2 linked regions of the Anolis sagrei genome follow. The protein of the gene in region 1 binds, or shares a complex with, the protein of each later gene. Links are inferred from orthologs where the notes say so. Each region holds a gene or a part of one and is shown on either strand. Other genes may lie near its edges.

Evidence for each region.
Region 2: GTF2F2 (region 1) and POLR2B share a complex: the UniProt entries of both Homo sapiens proteins name them as parts of the TBP-based Pol II pre-initiation complex. The link is inferred for Anolis sagrei from reciprocal best matches to the Homo sapiens genes GTF2F2 and POLR2B.

The regions. Positions count from the first base shown.
Region 1 is NC_090023.1:144,293,236-144,303,834, forward strand, and holds the start of GTF2F2 (general transcription factor IIF subunit 2), read right to left. Parts: upstream 4,435-10,599; 5' UTR 4,310-4,434; coding exon 4,244-4,309; intron 1-4,243. UniProt on the Homo sapiens protein: TFIIF is a general transcription initiation factor that binds to RNA polymerase II and helps to recruit it to the initiation complex in collaboration with TFIIB.
Region 2 is NC_090022.1:195,384,815-195,395,666, reverse strand, and holds the start of POLR2B (DNA-directed RNA polymerase II subunit RPB2), read right to left. Parts: upstream 4,074-10,852; 5' UTR 3,948-4,073; coding exon 3,929-3,947; intron 855-3,928; coding exon 782-854; intron 402-781; coding exon 251-401; intron 1-250. Other genes in the region: NOA1 (nitric oxide-associated protein 1), read left to right, coding at 6,574-7,543. UniProt on the Homo sapiens protein: Catalytic core component of RNA polymerase II (Pol II), a DNA-dependent RNA polymerase which synthesizes mRNA precursors and many functional non-coding RNAs using the four ribonucleoside triphosphates as substrates.

The sequences.
Region 1 (10,599 bases):
TAGACGACTGCCACTCCTCCTCCCCGCCCTCCGGGTCTCGGCTGGTGCTGGACAGAGTACCCTGGCGGGCATAGTTGGGAGAGGTTCACCCCTCCCCCCTCGTCCAGCCAGGTCTCTGTTATACATGCCAGGTCGGCTTGTTCCTCCTGAATTAGATCTCGAATGGTGGAGGTTTTTCCATTTACCGACCTGGCATTGAACAGCACCACCCTTAACCCAGAGGGACCACCATCCTGTCATCTCAGCTGTATCTTGTCAGGAGGGTTTTTTGGAGTTGCCAATATATTCCTACTGTTTTCGGGCCGAATCGTTTGTAAAGTTGTAGTATAAGTAATCTTTGGGATTGCCAATGTTCTATTGTACTTTTTGGGCCAGGTTTGTTTTTGTCTTGCATCCTTAAAATGTTTTGAATTCGCCAAATTATTGTTAGAAATTTTGGGTCGGATTGAGTAATTTGTTCTCCCTTTCCCGTATCTCCCTCTACCTGTCACCACCTCTATAGCAGCCCCTTCACCCGCAGAGCCACCTACCCCGGGGGAAATTCCTCCAAGCTCCTCATTTGAAGTATCAGGTGTTGATGCATAATAATAGCAGACATTGTTGTAGTTGTATAACTCTGAACCCCTAGGGTCCTCCACCCCCCTGCTTCCTACTCCTTCCCATGTATTGGAGAACATAAAGTGCATTTGAGTAACACTGGCAGAGAAGGCTGTCAGTAATAACAAAATTGACAAAGGTGGTGGCATCAGTCAATTGCTGGTAGTTCGTAATGTAGAGCTAGGGTCTGCCTAGGGTACAGGGCTGTCTAAAGTGCTATAGTGCCACACCTCACAGCAGCTTATTGGTTTGGGACCAGTTGATAGCTTATAATGACCCAGGCGTTCTAAAGTGCAGGATTAAAGTGCTAGAAATTAAAGTGCTAGGTGGTTTTCTATGGCTCAGATTCTAATAGTACCATAGAGTCTCAGTGATGGACTAAAGTGCTCAATAGTTCAATAACTCAAAGTCAGTGCCCACAGAAGAAACCCGATGTCATTCAACTAGGATGGGCAGTTAGAACCATAGGGCCCAGCTTCTAGGGCCCGTGGACAGCAAGCCGGCACCCCTTGGCCTGGCCCCTAGTTCTTCTTGACTGTCCCAGTGGAAAGCTGATGAAGCTTAATGGGGGTTGGTCTTATATATTGCAGGCAGTGACTCCAAGGAGACAGTTTCTAGCAGCTGTGTGGAGTGATATCAATTGCACCTCCAGCCAAAGGGGGCGATGTTGCAGGAGGTAACAGGATTTCTGTTGCTATGAGTTCTGGATGGCAGCAGCAGAACACTGAGCTTCTAGGCCTTCCGGTTGTTGCTTGGGCCCCCACTAATGGAGGAGTGGCGATGTTTATTCCGGACGCTAGTGGCGCGATGGAAAATGTCCCGCGTTGACGATGAGATCCGGATGGCAAGGAAGCAGTCAATGATGGAATTCCACTGTTGGTGGCACAACTCAGCCAGCAGAGGGCCGCTGCTATTGGTGATGGGGGCCGAGCCGATGCAATACAATGGCAGCGCCGAGCCAACACAGCTCCTGCACTCCGGCCACCACCAGATGGAAGCACGGAGGGATCCGAGCAGCGCGTTCTCAGCGGGGAGGGAGGAGTGCGCGGCGGTGGGGCCTAGCAGGCCCGAAGGAGCGCTGGAGAGTCTTCTTCCTTCTCCCCTCCCCTGGACCGGCGGGAGGGAGGGGCTCGCGGCGGCGGGGCCTAATGGGCCCGACGGAGTGCTCGAGGGCCTTCTTCCTTCTCTCCCTCCCCCGGACCGGCGGGAGGGAGGGGCTCGTGGCTGCGGGGCCTAGCAGGCCCGAAGGAGCGCTGGGTGTTAATACCGCTGGCGGCGTCGGCGGCGACGTCGGCCGTGCCTGGGATGATAGGCCACTCCCGGGCCGTGCCTGGGATGGCGGGCCCGCTGCAGTCTACCCTCAATAGCCTGGAGGTGACTCCGCAACGGGCTGTAGTAAGGTGATAGGTGGTGGCAGCAGCGGTGATGGTGTCGCGAGGAACCGCCACGGTTAGATCTTAAAGGCTTGAGGGAGGCGGCTGCATTGTAATGGCAGCGCTCTACCTCGCTCCTCCTCCTCCTCCTCCTCCGTTCTCTTCTTTAGGGTTAATCTGACCCCCGGACCTTTTTCGGGCCTCTTTCGGAACCCCTGATTGCCCCGGGCTCCCTGGCTGGGTCAGAGGGGGGGATTGGGGGGGAGGATCACCTTAGATTTCCTCAGATTGAGAATCCCCATTAGCGCAGCTCAGGATCTTGTTGCTTCTTATAGGCTAAAGCTAGCACTTTGTACTGTGCTTGGTAGGAAACTGGCAGCCAGTGGAGCTGACGCAGCAGGGGGGTTGTATGTTCCCTGTACCCCGCTCCAGTGAGTAATCTGGCTGCCACCTGTTGGACCAATTGAAGCTTCCGAACAGTCTTCATAGGCAACCCCAGCGTGTTGCAGTAGTCAAAGCCAAAGTGTACAAGATGGATTGTACAGGAGAAGGTGATCCTTTAGGTGACGTGGACCCAAACTATGTGGGGTTTTAAAGATCAAAACCACCACCTTGTACTTTGCTGGGAAATTAATTGGCAAAAAGTGGAGTGACTTTAGGATAGGTCAGGAGAGTGGGGCTTGAATTGAGATACACGGCTTGTGAACAGGATGCCTGGCTTTAAAATGTCTTTTCACGTTTCCCTATCCCCAGAGCTGCAAGTGCTGTTGGGTTCAATTCCCATCATCCCCAGTTCACATGGTGGATAATTCAAAGTGGTGAGAGCTGTCGTTTAATGACATCTGGGGACCTGAACTGGGCAACAAACTCAAGCTCACTATAGGTTGTTGTAGGTTTTTCGGGCCATATGGCTATGTTCTAGAAGCATTCTCTCCTGACGTTTCACCTGCATCTATGGCAGTGCTTCTCAACGTGGGGGTTGGAACTCTTGGGGGGGTCACGAGACGGTTTCAGAGAGGGGGGGTCACCAAAGTCCATCTGAAAACATATTTCTGATGGTCTTAGTAACCCTCTTGGAGAAAAGGCTGAACATATGTCTGCCTATCCTTCTTTTCCTTTTTTGGTGTTGGTGAACTACAACTCCCAGAATTCAAAAACAGCTTGCCCCAACCCCACCAGTATTCAATATTGGCCATGTAGGTAGTGTGCCAAGTTTGGAGCAGATAAATTGTGGGGTGGGTTCAGAGTGCTCCTTGATGGTAAGTGAACTATAAATCTCTGCAATTACAACTCCCAAATATCAAGATCTATTTCCCCCAAACTCTACCAGTGTTCACATATTGGGCATATTGAGTATTCGTGCCAAGTTTGGTCCAGATCTGTCACTGTTTGAGTCCGCAGTGCTCTCTGGATGTAGGTGAACTACAACTCCCAAACTCAATGCCAATGCCTACCAACCCTTTCCAGTATTTTCTGTTGGTCATGGGAGTTCTGGGTGCCAAGTTTGGTTCGATTCCATTGTTGGTGGAGTTCAGAATGCTCTTTGATTGGAAGTGAACTATAAATCCCAGCAACTAAAACCATTCATAACAGTAACAAAATTCCAGTTATGAATTAGCAACGAAAATGATTTCATTGTTGGGGGTCACCACAACATGAGGTACTGTATTAAGGGGTTGCGGCATCAGGAAGGTTGAGAACCACTGACCTATGGCCTCACAACCTCTGAGGATGCTGTCTATAGATGCAGGCGAAACGTCAGGAGAGAATGCTTCTATCAAATGGCCATATAGCCCAAAAACCCTACAACAACCCAGTGATAAAGCTCACTATGTTAAAAAAATATAGTTGGCCCTCTGTCTCCACAGACTTAAGGGCCCCTTGAAGGCAACCACGAGGCTGATGTGGCCCTGGGTACAAGGGAGGAAGAGGAACAATGCAGCCCCTCTCCCTTGACAGTCTGGCCTTCCAAGAGCGCACTTCTTGGTGTCCTCCTTCTCTAAGCACTCAAGGGCTCCATTGCAGATCATTCCTGCTTCATGACTGGGACTGAGCCCCCTGAAGTCTTGGCTGTCACCACCTCACTCACCCTCTCTCTCTCTCTCCCTCAGGCACCGCCATGCATTCATACAACGAGTGAGGGGCGGGGAGGGGGTGGGCAGCCTTGGAGGCCACTTTCTCCACACTGCGCCCTGTTTGGCAACTTTTGTCCGCCATTTCCCGGAAAGAGGAGGCCTCTTCTCTCCCTCCCTCCCTTCCTCCCTCCCGCTCACCTTGACGAGCCACATGCCCGTGTTCTGCTTGGCCCCGGTCAGGTCCAGCTCCCCCTTCTCGCTCATGGCGGCCCTCTTGCTCTCCACAACGGCAGCTACCCGAGCAGGAATCGACAGCACACTCGCGGCTTACGGGGGCCGACAGCGTCCAAACCTCCGCCTCCGTCCCAAACGCGTCTCTGGCTGCGCGCTCACACCTCCTCGGTGGGCGTGGCTTGTTCGAGAGGCCCCGCCTACGGGGAGGCCAGGGAGAAGAAAGGCCAGGGCAGGACTGATGGAGGCACCTGTGATTGCATAGCTGCATAAATAGAAGTCAAAATATGTATGCGTGTATTTTTCAGGAGGGAAGGATATTAGAGGCCAAGATGAAGTATTTTGGCCACATCATGAGAAGACAGGAAAGCTTAGAGAAGACAACAATGCTTGGGGGAAATGGAAGGAAAAAGGAAGTTGGATGATGGGCAAGATGGATGGATGGCATCCTTGAAGTGACTGGCTTGACCTTGAAGGAGCTGGGGGTGGTGACGGCCGACAGGGAGCTCTGGCGTGGGCTGGTCCATGAGGTCACGAAGAGTCATAAGCGACTGAACGAATGAACAACAACAAAAATTTTCAGGATGGCTCCCTCACCCAGAGAGTCGCATGACCAGCAATGAGGGATCTGGACCAAATTTGACACACAGACCCATCACACCTATCTTAAAATAGTGAGGTTTTTGGGAGGGAAGTAATGGGGGTTCTGCCCGTGGCACAGCGGGTTAAACCGCTGAACTGTTGAACTTGCTGACCAAAAGGATATTAGAGGCTAAGACGAAATGCAAAGATACAGAATGGGTGACGCCTGGCTCGAGAGCAGTACGTGTGAAAAAGATCTTGGAGTCCTCGTGGACAACAAGTTAAACATGAGCCAACAATGTGATGTAGCAGCAAAAAAAGCCAATGGGATTTTGGCCTGCATCAATAGGAGCATAGTGTCTAGATCCAGGGAAGTAATGCTACCCCTCTATTCTGTTTTGGTTAGACCACACCTGGAATATTGTGTCCAGTTCTGGGTACCACAATTCAAGAGAGATATTGACAAGCTGGAATGTGTCCAGAGGAGAGTGACTAAAATGATAAAAGGTCTGGAGAACAAGCCCTATGAGGAGCGGCTTAACGAGCTGGGCATGTTTAGCCTGAAGAAGACAAGGCTGAGAGGAAACATGATAGCCATGTATAAATATGTGAGAGGAAGCCACAGGGAGGAGGGAGCAAGCTTGTTTTCTGCTTCCTTGGAGACTAGGCCGCAGAACAATGGCTTCAAACTACAAGAAAGGAGATTCCATCTGAACATGAGGAAGAACTTCCTGACTGTGAGAGCCGTTCAGCAGTGGAACTCTCTGCCCCGGAGTGTGGTGGAGGCTCCTTCTTTGGAAGCTTTTAAACAGAGGCTGGATGGCCATCTGTCAGGGGTGATTTGAATGCAATATTCCTGCTTCTTGGCAGAATGGGATTGGACTGGATGGCCCATGAGGTCTCTTCCAACTCTTTGATTCTATGATTCTATGAAAGATTGGTGGTTCAAATCTGGGAAGCAGGGTGAGCTCCCATTGTTAGCCCCAGCTTCTGCCAACCTAGCAGTTCAAAAACATACAAATGTGCATAGATAAATAGGTACCACCTGGGCAAGAAGGTAAAGGCGCTCCATGTAGTCATGCCGGCCACATGATCTAGGAGGTGCCTATGGACAATGCTGGCTCTTGATGAGCCCCACACCCCCAGAGTCAGACATGACTAGACTTAATGTCAAGAGGAAACCTTTACCTTTTCCTGATGGGGGTTGCACTCCACCCACATCCAGAGACCACTGTGAAACCCACCAATGATGGATCTCAACCACATGTGGTACACACAGACCCATTAATTATTATTTATACATCACCTTATCTCTGCCGCAGGAGATGCAAAGCAGTTAACATAAAAACATCAGCATACAATTGAAAATATTTATAAAACTTTATTTCTGTCTCGCCCTGTCTCTCAGTGAGGGATCAGGGCAGGTTACAGTTTACAAGATGGGAACTACAGTATCTTCATTCACTTCTTGAGACCATTCCTACCCACACCAATGACTGATCAAGAGCAAACTTGGCACATAGAGCCCCCATGACCCACTCTACTTCCTGGCATGGTTTGTTAGATGATGGGCCATCGATGATGGGACTTGCGGTACCTTCACCCACTTCCTGAGAACACTGAGACCCACACCAATGACTGATAAAGAGCAAACTTGGCACATAGAGCCTCCATGACCCACTCTATGTCCTGGTGCGGGTTCTGGGCTGACAGACCATGGATGATGGGACTTCCAGTACCTTCACTCGCTTCCTCAGATCACAGTGCCACATACCAATAACTGTTCAAGACCAGAGCCCCCGTGACCCATTCTGCATCCTGGTGCAGTTTGGAGGAGGATGGGCCATGGTCAATGGAACTTCCATATGGAAGCTGTAGTTCACCTGCAACCACTGAACCCAGCCAACATTGGACCTAAACTACACTTGGAGCACAGGCAAACAATGCCGTTCTCAAATAACCTGGGCACCGCCAGGTCCCCAAGCTGGTAATAATAATAAAAACAGAACCAAACGTTAGACATTGTCATAACTATACCAATATACAAATATTAGAACAGCATTAAACATCAATAGGTGGCACAGTGAGTTAAGCCGCTGAGCTGCTGAACTTGCTGATCAAAAGGTCACAGGTTCAAATACGGGGAGCGGCGTGAGCTCCTGCTGTGCATGCAAATGTGAGTAGATCAATAGGTGGGAAGGTAACAACGCTTCATGCAGTCATGCTAGCCACATGACCTTGGAGGTGGCTATGGACAACGCTGGCTATTTGGCTTAGAAATGGAGATGAGCACCAACTTCCAGAGTCAGACACGACCAGACTTAATGTCAGGGGAAAACCTTTAGCTTTACCTTAAACATCATTAGTATTTTTAAAATTTCAAATTAAATCCATAAAAACATATAAAAGCAGGAAGAGGGCCATTCTGCCTTCCTTGGGAAGAAGGGGGTTCCAGAGTTGATGGACAACCACTGAGAAGGAAGACCTGCTCTTCATTTCTATCAACTGAGCTTGAGATAGAGGTGGAAGTAAGAGAAAGGCCTCTCCTGGGGATCTCAGGGCCTGGGCAGGTTCATACAAAGGGATGTGATCAACCAAATAACCTGAACTTGAACCGTCAAGTGCTTTGAAGTATGCCCCGTAACAGACTGGCAGCCAGTGGAGCTACTGGAGGTGGGACCGAGAGAAGGGTTACCATCATGACCATATGTTGGTGGGGATTGGCCCAGGATGATGGCAGCTGTGCTCTGTCCACATCCCAAGATCCTCTTGTATCCCACATCCAGAGAGCCATATCTATTTCTAACAGCACCATTCATAAAACCCCAAATCAAACAATAAACAGCATGCAAAATACCTAACCAGACCACACTGGGTCCCCAGGGCTTTTGGGCTTGTTAGAATATGATTGATATAATCCAGTGGTTCTCAACTTGCGGGTCTGCAGATGTTTTGGCCTTCAACTCCCAGAAATCCTAACAGCTGGTAAACTGTGTTGTCGAAGTCTTTCATGGCCGCAATCACTAGGTTGCTGTGAGTTTTCTGGCTGTATGGCCATGTTCCAGAAGCAGTCTGCTCTAATGTTTTGTCCTCAAAGGATGCTTGCTATAGAGGGTATTTATTTATCGTATCAGGAGCAAACCAAACAGTTGTATTACATTATTAAACAAACAAAAACGTCAGGAGAGAATGCTTCTGGAACATGGCCATATAGCCTGGAAAACTCGCAGCAACCTAGCTGTTATACTGGCTGGGATTTCTGGGAGTTGTAGGCCAAAACACATGTGGACTCACAGATTGAGAACCACTGATTTAATCCCTCCAGGAATGTCCAGGCTCCAGCTGGTTGCAGAAATGAACCCTTTCAAAAGATGGAACCATAGGGCTTTCACAACTGCTGAACTTGTATTAATTTTAAATATATATATATATAATAGAAATTATGTTTAATTCATTATTTTTTGGAGGGGAGATAAATTTTTCAACAACAATTTTGATAATGGTTATCTTATACAATGAACTTATATTTGCTTACATATTTTTCTATCCATAAGGATCCTTATTCATATTTGTTTGCTACCAGGAAAATATCCATTAGGCGTAGCAAATGGGTGGTCTTCCAAGTATTCTTGGACCATGGTCCCCATCATCTGATGAGGAAGGCTAGCTAGGGCCGTCAGGAGTTGGTATCTAACATCTGCAGGCAGCAAAATGTCTAGACTAGTGCTTTAATATCAGGTATTGGTAACTTTCCTCCCAATGAGCCAGGGACTAGTAACACAGCTGTGCCCCTTGGCATCTGGAAGGATGAGCATTATTCCTTTGTATTTCAAGGGCACTCATGGTGAAGCATTTTTAAAACTGTTTCCTAAGCAACGGAACAATCACATTTCATACATTAAATAAATGTCCCCAGACAATAATTATTTTTGTGTTTTAGCACAAGATTCAAACTAAACGTTTAGTTAATGTGTGGTTATTGACTAAATTTTCATTTGAGGACACTCAAATAATCTTTTGTTAAAAAGAGACACTTAGAAATCAATTCTTATCCAGTTTTGGCACATAACTAATGCTATGACCATAAACCAGTGCTTTCCAATCTTTTTTTGACAAGGGACAGGCCTGTAGCCAGGATTTTGTTTCGGGGGGGGGGGGGGGCTGAGTTTGGTTGGGGGGGGGCTGAGTCTGAGTGATAGAGGGTCTGCTCTAGCAAACCTTTTGTATCGTTACCCCAATACCCCCATGCATATGGGATATATTGAGCATGGTGATCAGATCATGATATGAATAAACATAACAGTTTAAATAATGTACTAGTAAGGCCTTCTCGCGGACCACCATGAGAATTTCGGGGGGGGGGGGCTCAAGCCGCCAAGCCCCCCCCCCCCCCGGCTACATGCCTGATCATGGACCACTTGACCAGGGACCGCTTTGACCAATGAACATTCTCCAATATTAGTACCAAAAGGGTTATGAATCAGTTTTTGGTCAACTTTAGATTCAGTTTGGTTATTTGGGGTGCTGATTCAGAAAATTGCATTGGATAGACCACAACAGCTCTAGTTTCTGATACAGAACATACACCATCCAGTAGTCACAATCTGCTTGCCTACAGAAAACTATAATAATCTAGAGTCATAGACCTTATTTTAGGTCTCGAGGCCCACAGGTTGGGAACCACGGCTATAAACTAAACAATGTTGATCTTCTCTCTTTCTCTGCTAACAATAAAAAACAACTAACTATTGGGAACAACTATTCAGGCATTCCCTGATTTGGCTCCAAATATGATGCTATGTGACATTAAGAAATGGCCAGAAGAAACACAGATGGAAATCACCAGGCTGAAACATGCAGAGTTTCAGCTCTCCCCTTTTTTTTTTTAAGTGCAAGATATTCTATCAACTGTCATGCTTATATAGCAGAAAATTAAAACAGGTGGAGGATCATGTAATTTTAGAGATGCAACCTAAGGTGCATCTATTCTACACCATAGAATTAATGCTGTTTGACATCATTTTAACTATTGTGACACAATGCTGTGGAATCCTCTTATTACTTTTGCAAAGCTTTTACATTCTCTGCCAAAAATATTGGTGCCTTGCCAAACTACACCTCCCAGGATTCCATAGCATTGAGCACCCCCCCCCCTTTCTGAATGCCTGTCTCCACTGTTCCATCCCCTACGAGATCCTCTCTTACAAGTATACCTTTTAATTCTTATCTCATCCAGAGTTTTATCATTTTATGTCGTACATTTGGCCCGCCCATTGTGTTTGATTTTTCACTTTGTTATTTTGCACTGTTTTATTTTACTTTTATGTTCTACTTATTTTATTTTATTTTATTTTTTGTTCTTTCTCTATTTATTCTTCTGTAATGTATTACCGGCTTGGCCTCATGTAAGCCATCTCCCTTTGGGGAGATGGTGGTGGGGTAAAAATAAAGATGATGATGATGATGATTATTATTATTATTATTAAAGAGACGTATAACAGTATTTATTCAACAGTGAAGGTGCACCCTTAATCTCTTTGCAAACTGGGTAGAACTGAAGGTACTTCATATGACATCTTCACTACTGTTATGTTACACAGGATAATGAATAAGCTGGAATGAGCTATGAGGCCAATTAACCTTAAGGTAGATATTTTTTCTGGGCACGTACACCTAATGAAAACTTCAGTGCACGGAGCTTCAAATATGACACTGCTTGCAGACGAGCAGCGCTCTACTTG
Region 2 (10,852 bases), on another chromosome or scaffold:
GGTACAACAATGTAGGATTTCTAAGAGCTCTGAACTTGTTACCTATTAGCTACAGTGCACTGGTATTAAATGCTCCAAATGGCTTGGAACGAAAATACCCAAAGAAACACTGCTTCTTCTACCAGCCCATCTCTTGAAAAAAAAAATAGCCTTTTCTGCAGGGCATCCCATTTATGAAATACCTTTCCTAAACTGCTTTAAACAAAATACCAACATTTTGGATTTGTTTCATCATCATATCAAAACTTACTGGCTCTTCTACTTCGCCTGTAGCATGTTGAGCTTCTGCTTGCAGATCAATGGGTGGGGCATCTTCGACAATTCTCTGCACAGACATCTGAATGAACTCATCAAATGAATCAAGCTGCTGACGGACCAGGCCCTTTTCATCAAAGTAAGAGCTTTGCAAAACAAGTTAAAATCAATGAGAATTACTACTGCAGAATAACAGCGCATTCCAAAATAGCTTCTTCAAATATCCTCCCTAGACCTCCTTGATTAATATAAAAATGTTAGTGAACTACACAAGAGTTCCAAAGCAGAAATACATCGTTTCATTTTTTGATTCATGTGAATATTGTAACATCCCTAACTTCAGAAGAATAATTTCCTCCAGTATTAGACTTGAAACATACTAGTATGTTCAAGTTGCATGATGTATTGTTTTCTGTGGAAGACATTATGGGTAGGTTCTTCAATTCAATGGAATTCAACAAAGTTTAAAAAGGGTTTATTTTAGAGTGAATCTGAATTCTTTCATATTCTTTATATGAACACTTACCTGATGACAATCCAGCATGCTTCTTGCCACAAATCTGGGGTGATTTCATCATCATCTTCATCATATTGCATATCTGCCAAGAAAAGGCAAAGTCCAACACTTCCATAGTCGTTTTTTTAAAACCTTTCGATGCAAATATTTTCACAAAATACATGGGGATAATATATTTCACTTTTATTTCTAAAATTGCAAACATTATTTCCTTTGATCTCAGCAGAGGCCTTCACGGGAAGAACTGTTTTAAAGCTAAAGACAATGCAGTCGCTGTTGCCTGTTTTTGGTCTAAAGCAGTGGTTCTCAACCTGTGGGTCCCCAGATGTTTTGGCCTTCAATTCCCAGAAATCCTAACAGCTAGTAAACTGGCTGGGATTTCTGGGAGTCTAAAACTATTTAGCTGCTTATGATCCCTTTATTTTATCAGTTTAAACTTGTTTACTTATGCAATGCTTCTGAAACTAAATAAAGCAGAGGCCTTGCCCAGGTCTACTATTCAAGAATCTTACAAAGAATAGAGATTCGATTCCCTCTGTGCAAACTACTAAAACATGATCTGAATTCATATTTATATCAAGGCATTTCATATATCTAATTATAATACTTTTCCAAGAATTAAGAATACAGCACTAGGCATTTTTATGAGTATATCACAGTAAAGTAAGGAAAGTTGGTTACAACTGAAAATGCTCATAATTGCTCTATAAGACATCACTGTCTAAAGCAGATCAACAACTTGCAAGAAAATCAAACTCCCTACTTCAGCTGTACTGTGTACTGGTTGAAAAGGTGGCCACAACTCCATGCAGTGCAGGGTACTCATAGTTTACACTGGATTATCATGTTAATATAAATGTTAAAGGTTCCATCCCCAGTCCTTATTCTGCAGGACTGGGTTCAGCACCTTGGACACTTCCTAGAAAGTTTAAATTGAAACTGGGAGTGATTTGCTGCCCAACTGATATGGTGAGAGCAAGCTGTTCCCACTATGGAAAGATGAAACATTTGTTAGAGGAGAGATGTTGCTCAATTGCTCTGCTTATCCAGGCTGAGTCTCATGTGTGGAATACCCTGTCTAAGAGGTGTCCTTGAATTGTGTACAGAGCAGCTGGTGAATTCCTTAAACTTGTCCTTCCCATGACACCAGGCAGTTTAGAAGCACTTGGCCCTTTGACAAGTCTGGTTGACCATTTTATTAAATTGTAAAGCATCAAGCAAACACCTTTTCACCACTTCCAGTGAATGAGCCCTTCCTCAAAGGTCACTGTTGCCACTGAGTGGAGATCCGAATTGTAAATGTACTGTAACCAGAAAAGGCTTTCAGGGTGCTTCCTCCATTGCTTTTAATTTACTTTATTACATGCCATGCTGTGAACTTTACTTGGTACTGTTCCATTATCTGGGTGGAGGCCACTAGGGACTGCTAGAGAAAGATACTTCATTTTATTGGGGTGGAAGGTGGGTTGAAGGAGCAAAACCATTTTCCCCTGTTTTCCTGTTATTCTCCCCACTCATGTCTCTGTCATGGAAACAACCCTTGTCTATGATAAGGGAAGTGGGGAGGGGGAATAACCAGTGAAAATGGGGGAAGTGGTTTTCCTCCTTCAACTCCCCCCCCCACTAAAATGAAGTATCCTCCCTTCCCAATCCTCCCTCCACCTGGATAAAGAAACATAATTACTTTAAGCGATTAATTAAAACCATAAATTATGGTGCGAATCTTGCCTTGCTTCAGTAATTAGAAACTTCAACTTGGCCAGGCTATGCCACCATTAACACGTAGCTGATATAATCCTTAAAGGTGTTCAGAGTTTTCCAAGGTTTTAAATAATAATAAAAAGAAAAAAACTTTATTTGTATCCTGCCCCATCTTCCTAGAAGGACTCAGGGTGGCTTACAAGGTAGTGACAATGCAAACAAAAACATCAAATATATAGCAATAACCCAAATAACCTAAATCAATAAAGTAAACACCAATGAAAAATAAATATGCTTGAAAAATGTTTTGCAAGCATTGTATTGCAGACCTTTCTTCTGTTGCAGATTGGGGGTGGGGGGAGGGAAGGAATGAGTAATTTGGCTAAGGCCACTCAGAATATCTATAGCCCCTTCCACACAGGCTGTATAAAATCCACATTGAACTGTATTATATGGCAGTGCAAACTCAGATAATCCAGTTCAAAGCAGATATTGTGTATTATCTGCTTTGATATTCTGGGTTATAAAGCTGTCTGGAAGAGCCCTATATCTATTTATCTATCTATTTATCAGTATATATGTACGTTGGTTGCTTGGCACCACAAATAATTGAGGGGTTTGAGCCTTTTGGGACTAAAGCTGAGAGAAAGAAAATGATCAAAATGGATTGGCCATTGGTGAGTTGAAGTGACCTCTGTGATGTGACTGGGAAAGAAAAGGAATGATGCTGCTACTAGGACCCCTTCCACACAGCTGTATAAAATCCACACTGGGCTGTATTATATGGCAGTGTGGACTCAGATAATCCAGTTCAAAGCAAATATGGTCATCTGCCTTGAGATTCTGGGTTATATGGCTGTGTGGAAGGGCCTAGGTGACATGTGTATGAGGGGAACGGCGGGAGGAAGGAAACAGATAAAGAAGAAAAAGAAAGGAAAGAAGACAATGGAATGTGGGGGGAAATATATGGGGGGAGAAAGAAGGGAAGTGAAAAGAAAGAAGGACAAAGGAAGGAAAGGATAAAAGAAGAGAAAGGTAAGACTGAGAGAGAGAGAAGTGGAGGAGTGGAGGAAAGGAAAGGATTAAAGGAAAAGAAGGAAGAGAAAGGAAAGAGAGAATGAAAGAGAAGTGGGGGAAGTGAAAGAGGAAAAGGATCGGAAAAAGGAAAGAAAGGTAGAAAAGAGAGAGGGACAAGGTGTATGAGAGAAATGGAGGAAGGAGTCACAATTAGGATGTTTGGCCTCTTGGACCTTACGTGCGTCATCTCACCCTAAGGAAACAATTCCTGCCTTCTTTTAGAGGGCAGGAGTTCTGTGGCCATTGCTGAGCTGCTACCAGGGACACCTTCCAGGGGTATCGCTACCCTTCAGCCGCCCCAACGAGGAAGACGTAGCGCCTCAGGAGAGCCTCCCCTGCCTTCCCCTCGCCCTCCGGCTTCCCTCTGCAGGGCCTCACCTTCGTCCGCGTCGTACATCTTGGCGGCGGCAAGTCAAACTCTCAGGAGCAGAAAACACAGGCGGAGAACGTCGCTCGAGCGAAAGCACCAGCTTATGGTCGCATTTCCCAGGCACTTCCGTCCCGCTTACAAACGTCACTTCCGTTCACTCCAGAGAGAGCCTTGGAGGCCCTTCGCGCACGCGCTTTCTTTGAACGAGCTTGAGCCTTGGCGCCTGCGCAATTCGATTGTGCGCACGACAGGGTGATGCCAAAGAAAGCTATAGACTAGACAAGCTTGTCCATGCCTGCTATAGACAATAATGGAGTCTATCCAGTGTTTTCCACATCTTAGTCTTCCAGATGTTTTGAATTTCATTTCCCAAAATTTATCACTGTTGAACAATCTGCTGGAGGCTGCTGGGAGTTGAAGTACAAAACAGCTGAAAAAGCTAGGCTTGAAAATCACTGGTTTTGCATAAAGAAAGCCCACATGGCGAAACTATTTGGGTGCTGTACTATGACAAGTGGGGTTTATATATCTGTGAAATGGCCAGCTTAATTAGCATTGAATAGCCTTGCAGCTTCAAAGGCTGGTTGCTTCCTACCTGGGGGGAATCCTTTGTTGGGAGGAGTTAACTGGCCCTGATTGTTTCCTGTCTGGAATTCCTCTGTTTCCTAAGTGTAGTTCTTTATTTACTGTCCTGATTTTAGAATTTTTTAATACTGGTAGCCAGATTTTGCTTTTTTCCATAGTTTCCTCCTTTCTGTTGAATTGTGGGAAATTGAATTGTTAGGAATTGTGGGAATTGAAGTGCAGAACACCTGGAGTGCCACAGTTTGCCCTTGCCTTTGAAGGCTATTGCCTTGACGGCTTTTTATTTAGTTTCAAGGGCGTCTTGAGAAACTGCAAGTTGCTTCTGATGTGAGAGAAATGGCTTTCTGCAAGGACATTGCCCAGGGGATGCCTGGATGTTTGATCTTTTACCATCCTTGTGGGAGGCTTCCCTCATGGGGAGCTGGAGTTGACAGAAGGACCTGCTCAACCTGGAATTGAACTGCTGACCTATTGGTCAGCTGTCCTGCTGGCACAAGGGTTTAACTCAATGTGCCAGCAGGACTCCAGCCGAATTCTGCACGAGCTTAGGAGTCCCCTAAAGGCCTGGCCTGCGGTGCAAGGAAGAGGCCACAAGTTGGATTCTTTCTACAAAGGCTTTTATTGCAGGCCAAAGCAACAGGCGACAGCAGGTCATTTTGTGCCCATTGCACAAAACGTTTGTTGCAACTTGAAATGGGGTTGCAATTTTTTTTATCACTTTCACAGAAAATTGAAAGCATTGTCTCATTGGTGTACAAAAATCAATCATTCCATTGGTCCAAGCTGACTAACCGATTTTCATTGGCTCTCCATGACTCTAACAATCAAGAAGGCAAACAGTCACAGTGGCTAACAATCGCACAATTATGCTTTCATATTTCTGGCCCTGAATGTCTCAGTGGTCCAATCTTATGTGCTTTTCTGTTTCAAGCATGGACTTCAAGCGGCTGGGAAATTAGGGGGTACTAGCTAACCTGTTTTGTCCTGATGAACTTTTATTTGAGAGGTAACTTCCTCTCTGTGACAGCATTTTCCCCAACTGTCAAACAAAGGCCTCTGCAAAATGAGGACATATAGGGCTTTCACTCATTGGCACCCATGAAAATTCTATTAAAAACTATGTCTTCCTCAGCACCACTGGGGGTTCCTTGAGGCCTATTGCCTTGAGGCCTCACTTAGGCGATCCCTCATTGTCCGAGTAGGATTGTCTTCCAAGATCGGTGTACTGGGGGTGGGTCTGTAGGTGACTGTGGAGCCCTATTCTTGATCTGCATCTTCTGCCACAGTGTGGGCATTGGTTTCCAGGTGGAAGGTGGTCCCAGTCGTGGTTGGTTTGACACACCTTCCTCTTGGCATGCTTATCTCTTTCGCCCTCCATTCGTGCCTCCTCAAATTCTACAGCACTGCTGGTCACAGCTGACCTCCAGCTAGAACGCTCAAGGGCCAGGGCTTCCCAGTTCTCAGTATTCCAGAGTTTTTAAGGTTGGCTTTGAGCCCATCTTTAAATCTCTTTTCCTGTCCATCAACATTCCGTTTTCCATTCTTGAGTTCGGAGTAGAGCAACTGCTTTGGGAGACGGTGGTCGGGCATCCGGACAACGTGGCCGGTCCAGCAGAGTTGATGGCAGAGGACCATCGCTTCAATGCTGGTGGTCTTTACTTCTTCCAGCATGCTGACATTTGTCCGCTTGTCTTCCCAAGAGATCTGCAGCTGATGGAATTGTTCTAGGAGTTGCATGTGATGTCTGTAGACAGTCCATGTCTCGCAGGCATATAGCAGGGTTGGGAGGACAATAGCTTTATAAACAAGCATCTTGGTATCCCTACGGATGTCCCGGTCCTCAAACACTCTCTGCTTCATTCGGAAAAAAATGCTTTGAGGCCCATTGCCAAGCCTTGAGGCCCAGCCACATTTCAGAGGAGCCTGAAAGGAGAAGTTATGCAGAGTCCAGGGGCCTCCGATAGGGGGCGGTGTTGCTTCCGGAAGGAACGCTCGCTGGCTGGCTGGCTTGGGCCGCTCTGGCCCTCGGACTCGCTGCCCTTCCCTCAGCTTTCCCTCACGGAGGAGCATGAACGGCCTGAGGCGGGCGCTGCAGCTAGGACGGTTGTGGCCTGGGGCGCTCCCAAGGCCTCGCCGCGGCCTGGCCTCTTTCCCGGGGCTGGGCAAGGGCTGGGCCGCGGCGGAAGGAGAAGAGGAGTTCGTCTTCCCGGAGTACCTCCCCTCAGAGCCGGGCCCGGAGGAGGAGAAGAAGCCTCCCGCGCCGCCGCGAGAAAGAGCAGGCCCGAGGCCGGAAGAGCGGCGCCGGAAGCCGCCTCGGGCGAGCTTCCACCAGGCCTCGGGCCTCCCGGACCCGTCGCTGCCGGCCAGCGGCGTGGGCTGCCCGGGCTGCGGGGCCGAGCTGCACTGCCGCGACCCGGTTCTGCCTGGCTACCTGCCCAGCGAGAAGTACCGGGCCCTGAAAGAGGAGGGGGAAGGCGGCGAGGGCCTGGAGGGGGCGGTGTGCCAACGCTGCTGGCTCCTGGTGCACCACCGGCAGGCGCTGAAGGTGGAGCTGCCCCGGGAGGAGTTCCGCAGCCTGGTCGGCGCCGCCTTGAAGGCCCCCTCGCGCCACAACCGCCCGCCCTTAGTGCTGCTCCTGGCCGACCTCCTCGACCTCCCTGAGTCGCTGCTCTTGCCCGACCTGTCCAGCCTGGTCGGGGACCAAACCCACCTCCTGGTGCTGGGCAACAAAGTGGACCTTCTCCCGGGAGACTCCCACGACTACCTGCGCCGCCTGCGGGGAAGCCTTCGCCAGGCCTGCGCCCAAGCGGGCCTCCCCGCCAAGGAGGAGCCGCACCTGATCAGCGCCAAGACAGGCTTCGGCCTGGAGGACCTCATCAGCCGCCTGCAGCGCTCCTGGAAGTTCAATGGGGATGTCTACCTGGTGGGCGCCACCAACACCGGGAAGTCCACCCTCTTCAACGCCCTCCTGCACTCTGACTACTGCAAGTCCCGGGCCTCCCAGGCCATCCACCGGGCCACCATCTCACCCTGGCCAGGTCAGCGGGGCATCATCTCTCCTGCGAAGGTGGCTTCCATTGGGTTGCTGTGAGTTTTTCGGGCTGTAGGACCATGTTCCAGTCATAATAATACAAGGGATATCCGGAAAGTAATAATAATATAATTATTAAACCTCTGAGGATGCTTGCCATAGATGCATCAAAACGTCAGGAGAGAATGCCTCTAGACCAGGGGTCCTCAAACTAAGGCCCAGGGGCCGGATGCGGCCCTCCAAGCTCATTTACCCGGCCCTTGCTCAGGGTCAACCTAAGTCTGAAATTATTTGAAAGCACAAAACAACAGCAATCCTATCTCATCAGCCTAAAGCAGGCCCACACTTCCCATTGAAATACCAATAAGTTTATATTTGTCAAAATTGTTATTCATTTTAATTATTGTATTGTTTTAAGTGTTTTTTATAAGGTATGTGCAATGTGCATAGGAATTCATGGTTTTTTTTCAAATTATAATCCGGCCCTCCCAACAGTTTGAGGGCTGTGACCTGGTCGTCTGTTTAAAAAGTTTGTGGACCCTTGCTCTAGACCATGGCCATATAGCCTGAAAAAACCTACAACAACCCACTAATTATTTATTTATTTAGAGTTTTTATACCCCGGTCATCTCACCTCCGAGGAGGGACTAAGGCCAGCTAACAACATAAAATTAAAATACACTTCATACAATTCATACAAATTACAGCAAAAATCAGTTCATCCAAAAGAATCACAAATTCATCGCCATCCGCTAGAATGGTCAGCAGTTATTGACTCAGTCATCATTCTGCGAATGCAGTATCCCAAAGCCATGTTTTTACCTGCTTTCTAAATGTCATGAGGGAAGAGGCAGATCTAATATCCATCGGGAAGGAGTTCCAAAGCCGAGGGACCACCACCGAAAAGGCCGTGTCCCTTGTCCCCACCAAACGCGATTGCGAAGGCGGTGGGAGGGAGAGCAGGGCCCCTCCAGAAGATCTTAATAACCTTGATGGTTCATAGGGGAGAATCCGTTCGGACAGGTAAATAGGGCCAGAGCCGTTTAGGGATTTATAGGTCAACACCAGCACTTTGAATTGTGCTCGGAAGCTGGTTGGCAGCCAGTGGAGCTGGTGCAACAGAGGAGTAGTATGCTCCCTGTACCCCGCTCCCGTTAGTAATCTGGCTGCCGCTTGTTGTACTAGTTGTAGCTTCCGGGCAGTTTTCAGAGGCAACCCCACGTAGAGAGCGTTGCAGTAGTCTATACAGGATGTAACCAGAACATGTACCACCGTGGCCAAGTCAGACTTCCCAAGGTACGGGCGCAGCTGCCGCACAAGTTTTAATTGTGCAAATTACAGGGTTAGTCAAAATGCATAGGCCAATAAGCCATTCAATTGAATGGCTTATTGGCCTATGCATTTTGACTAACCCTGTATAATAACTTTATATTTATACCCCACCATGTTAGCCATTTTTATGTTGGAAAACGCCCAGACTCCTCTTGAGGAGATAGGGCAGGTTACAAATAAAGTTGTATTATATTATTGTTGTGAAGGCACACTGGGTTGAAAGGAAAACTATATGTCTGGCTATACCCGGTGGCTATTGGTATACCCTCTGATGTACTTCAGTTCTTTAAAAATAATGACGCTTGAGACAGAATCAAAGTTAACCAAATAAGTTTACTGGAAACAAAAGGCAAAGTTCTTGAAAGTCAGAGTTCTTGAAAGGCGAATCAAGATAAAATATTACAAAGTGAAGTTTGTTGATGGAACTTAGTTACACTGATAAAAAACACTTGACTATATTCATAAAATATGAGGTAAAACACTTGACTATAATTGTGGTAAGTCACTTGGTAAAATACTTGGCTATTGAAAATAAAATACTGGACTAAACTATTGGTAAATTCAGCTATGAAGGTCTATGAGGTATACACAGCTTTGACGGTCTGTGAGGTATATACTAAGCTATGGTGATGGTATAGTACAAGCTATAGTGACTATTTTGTATATATATGTGCTATAGAATGCCTGTTTAGATTGCCAGGCCAAGGAACCCAGACAATTTCTGGCTTTCTCCTCTAAAACTCTGATACAGACTAAAAAGGAGGGAAAAGCCTTTCAGACAAGTTCTGAGGCAAAAGGGCTAAACCAACAGGGCCAGCCTTTAGCAATTGTTGTTGCTGCTGCCTGGGGGCATCTTTTTTTTTTTTTTTTTTTTTGGAGGTATAAACTGGCACTTAATTATTTGCTGCCTGGAATTCCTCTTTTTCTCTTTGTTCTTTATTTACTCTCTTGATTCTGGTACTTTTTAATACTTGTGACCAGATTTTATTCATTTTTATGGTTTCCTCCTTTCCATTGATATTGTCCACATTCTGATGGATTTCAATGGTCTCTCTGTGCAGTTTGACATGATTGTTGTCAGAGTGGTCCAGCATGTATGTGTTCTCAAATAATATTCCATGTCCAGGTTGGTTCATCAAGTGCTTTGCTATAGCTGACTTCTCTGGTTGAATTAGGCCTTTTGTTTTCTTTGATTTGTGCTTGGGCACTGCCATGAAAATGAACAAAATCTGGCAGTATTAAAAAAAAACCACCAGGATCAAGGCAGCAAATAAAAAACACCACTCAGAAATAGGGGAATTCCGGACAGCAAACAATCAAGTGGCAGTAAACACCTCCCAAACAAAGAATCCCCTCATGCAGCAACAGGTAGGCTTTGAAGCTGCAAGACTATTCAGCGCTAATCAAGATGGCTAATTGCAACATTCACACTTGCCTCAAATAGACAGGAGTTCTTTCTCCCACCCTAAACATTCCACAGATATATAAACCCCACCTGCCTAATGGCCCACAGACCTCACAAACTGCTGAGGACGCCTGCCATAGATGTGGGTGAAACATCAGGAAAGAATGCTACTGGAACATGGCCATACAGCCCAAAAAACTCACAGCAACCCAGTGATTCTGATGTTCTTTATAAACCATAGCAGAAAAGTTTAAATTTTCACGTCATGTATATAGGATTCAAAGGAAGAAGATGTACAATTTGTCATACCTGGCCATTGTAACATAATTCAGTATTATACTGATATTATACATGGCTGAATGTGTTGAAAATGCAATGTCCTGTCTGTGACTCATATGGTTATAATTAAAACAAGTTTTGAACTAGGAATCACTTGTTGTATGATATGTTCTTTAGCTATTACATTGTACCAGTTCTGAAGAACACAGAAATAAAGCAGAATAAATACTGAAACAATTTTTTTCATCCTTTTTCTCATATTCCCTGTTTGCCACCTCTACGTTTAATTTTCTGTCCATG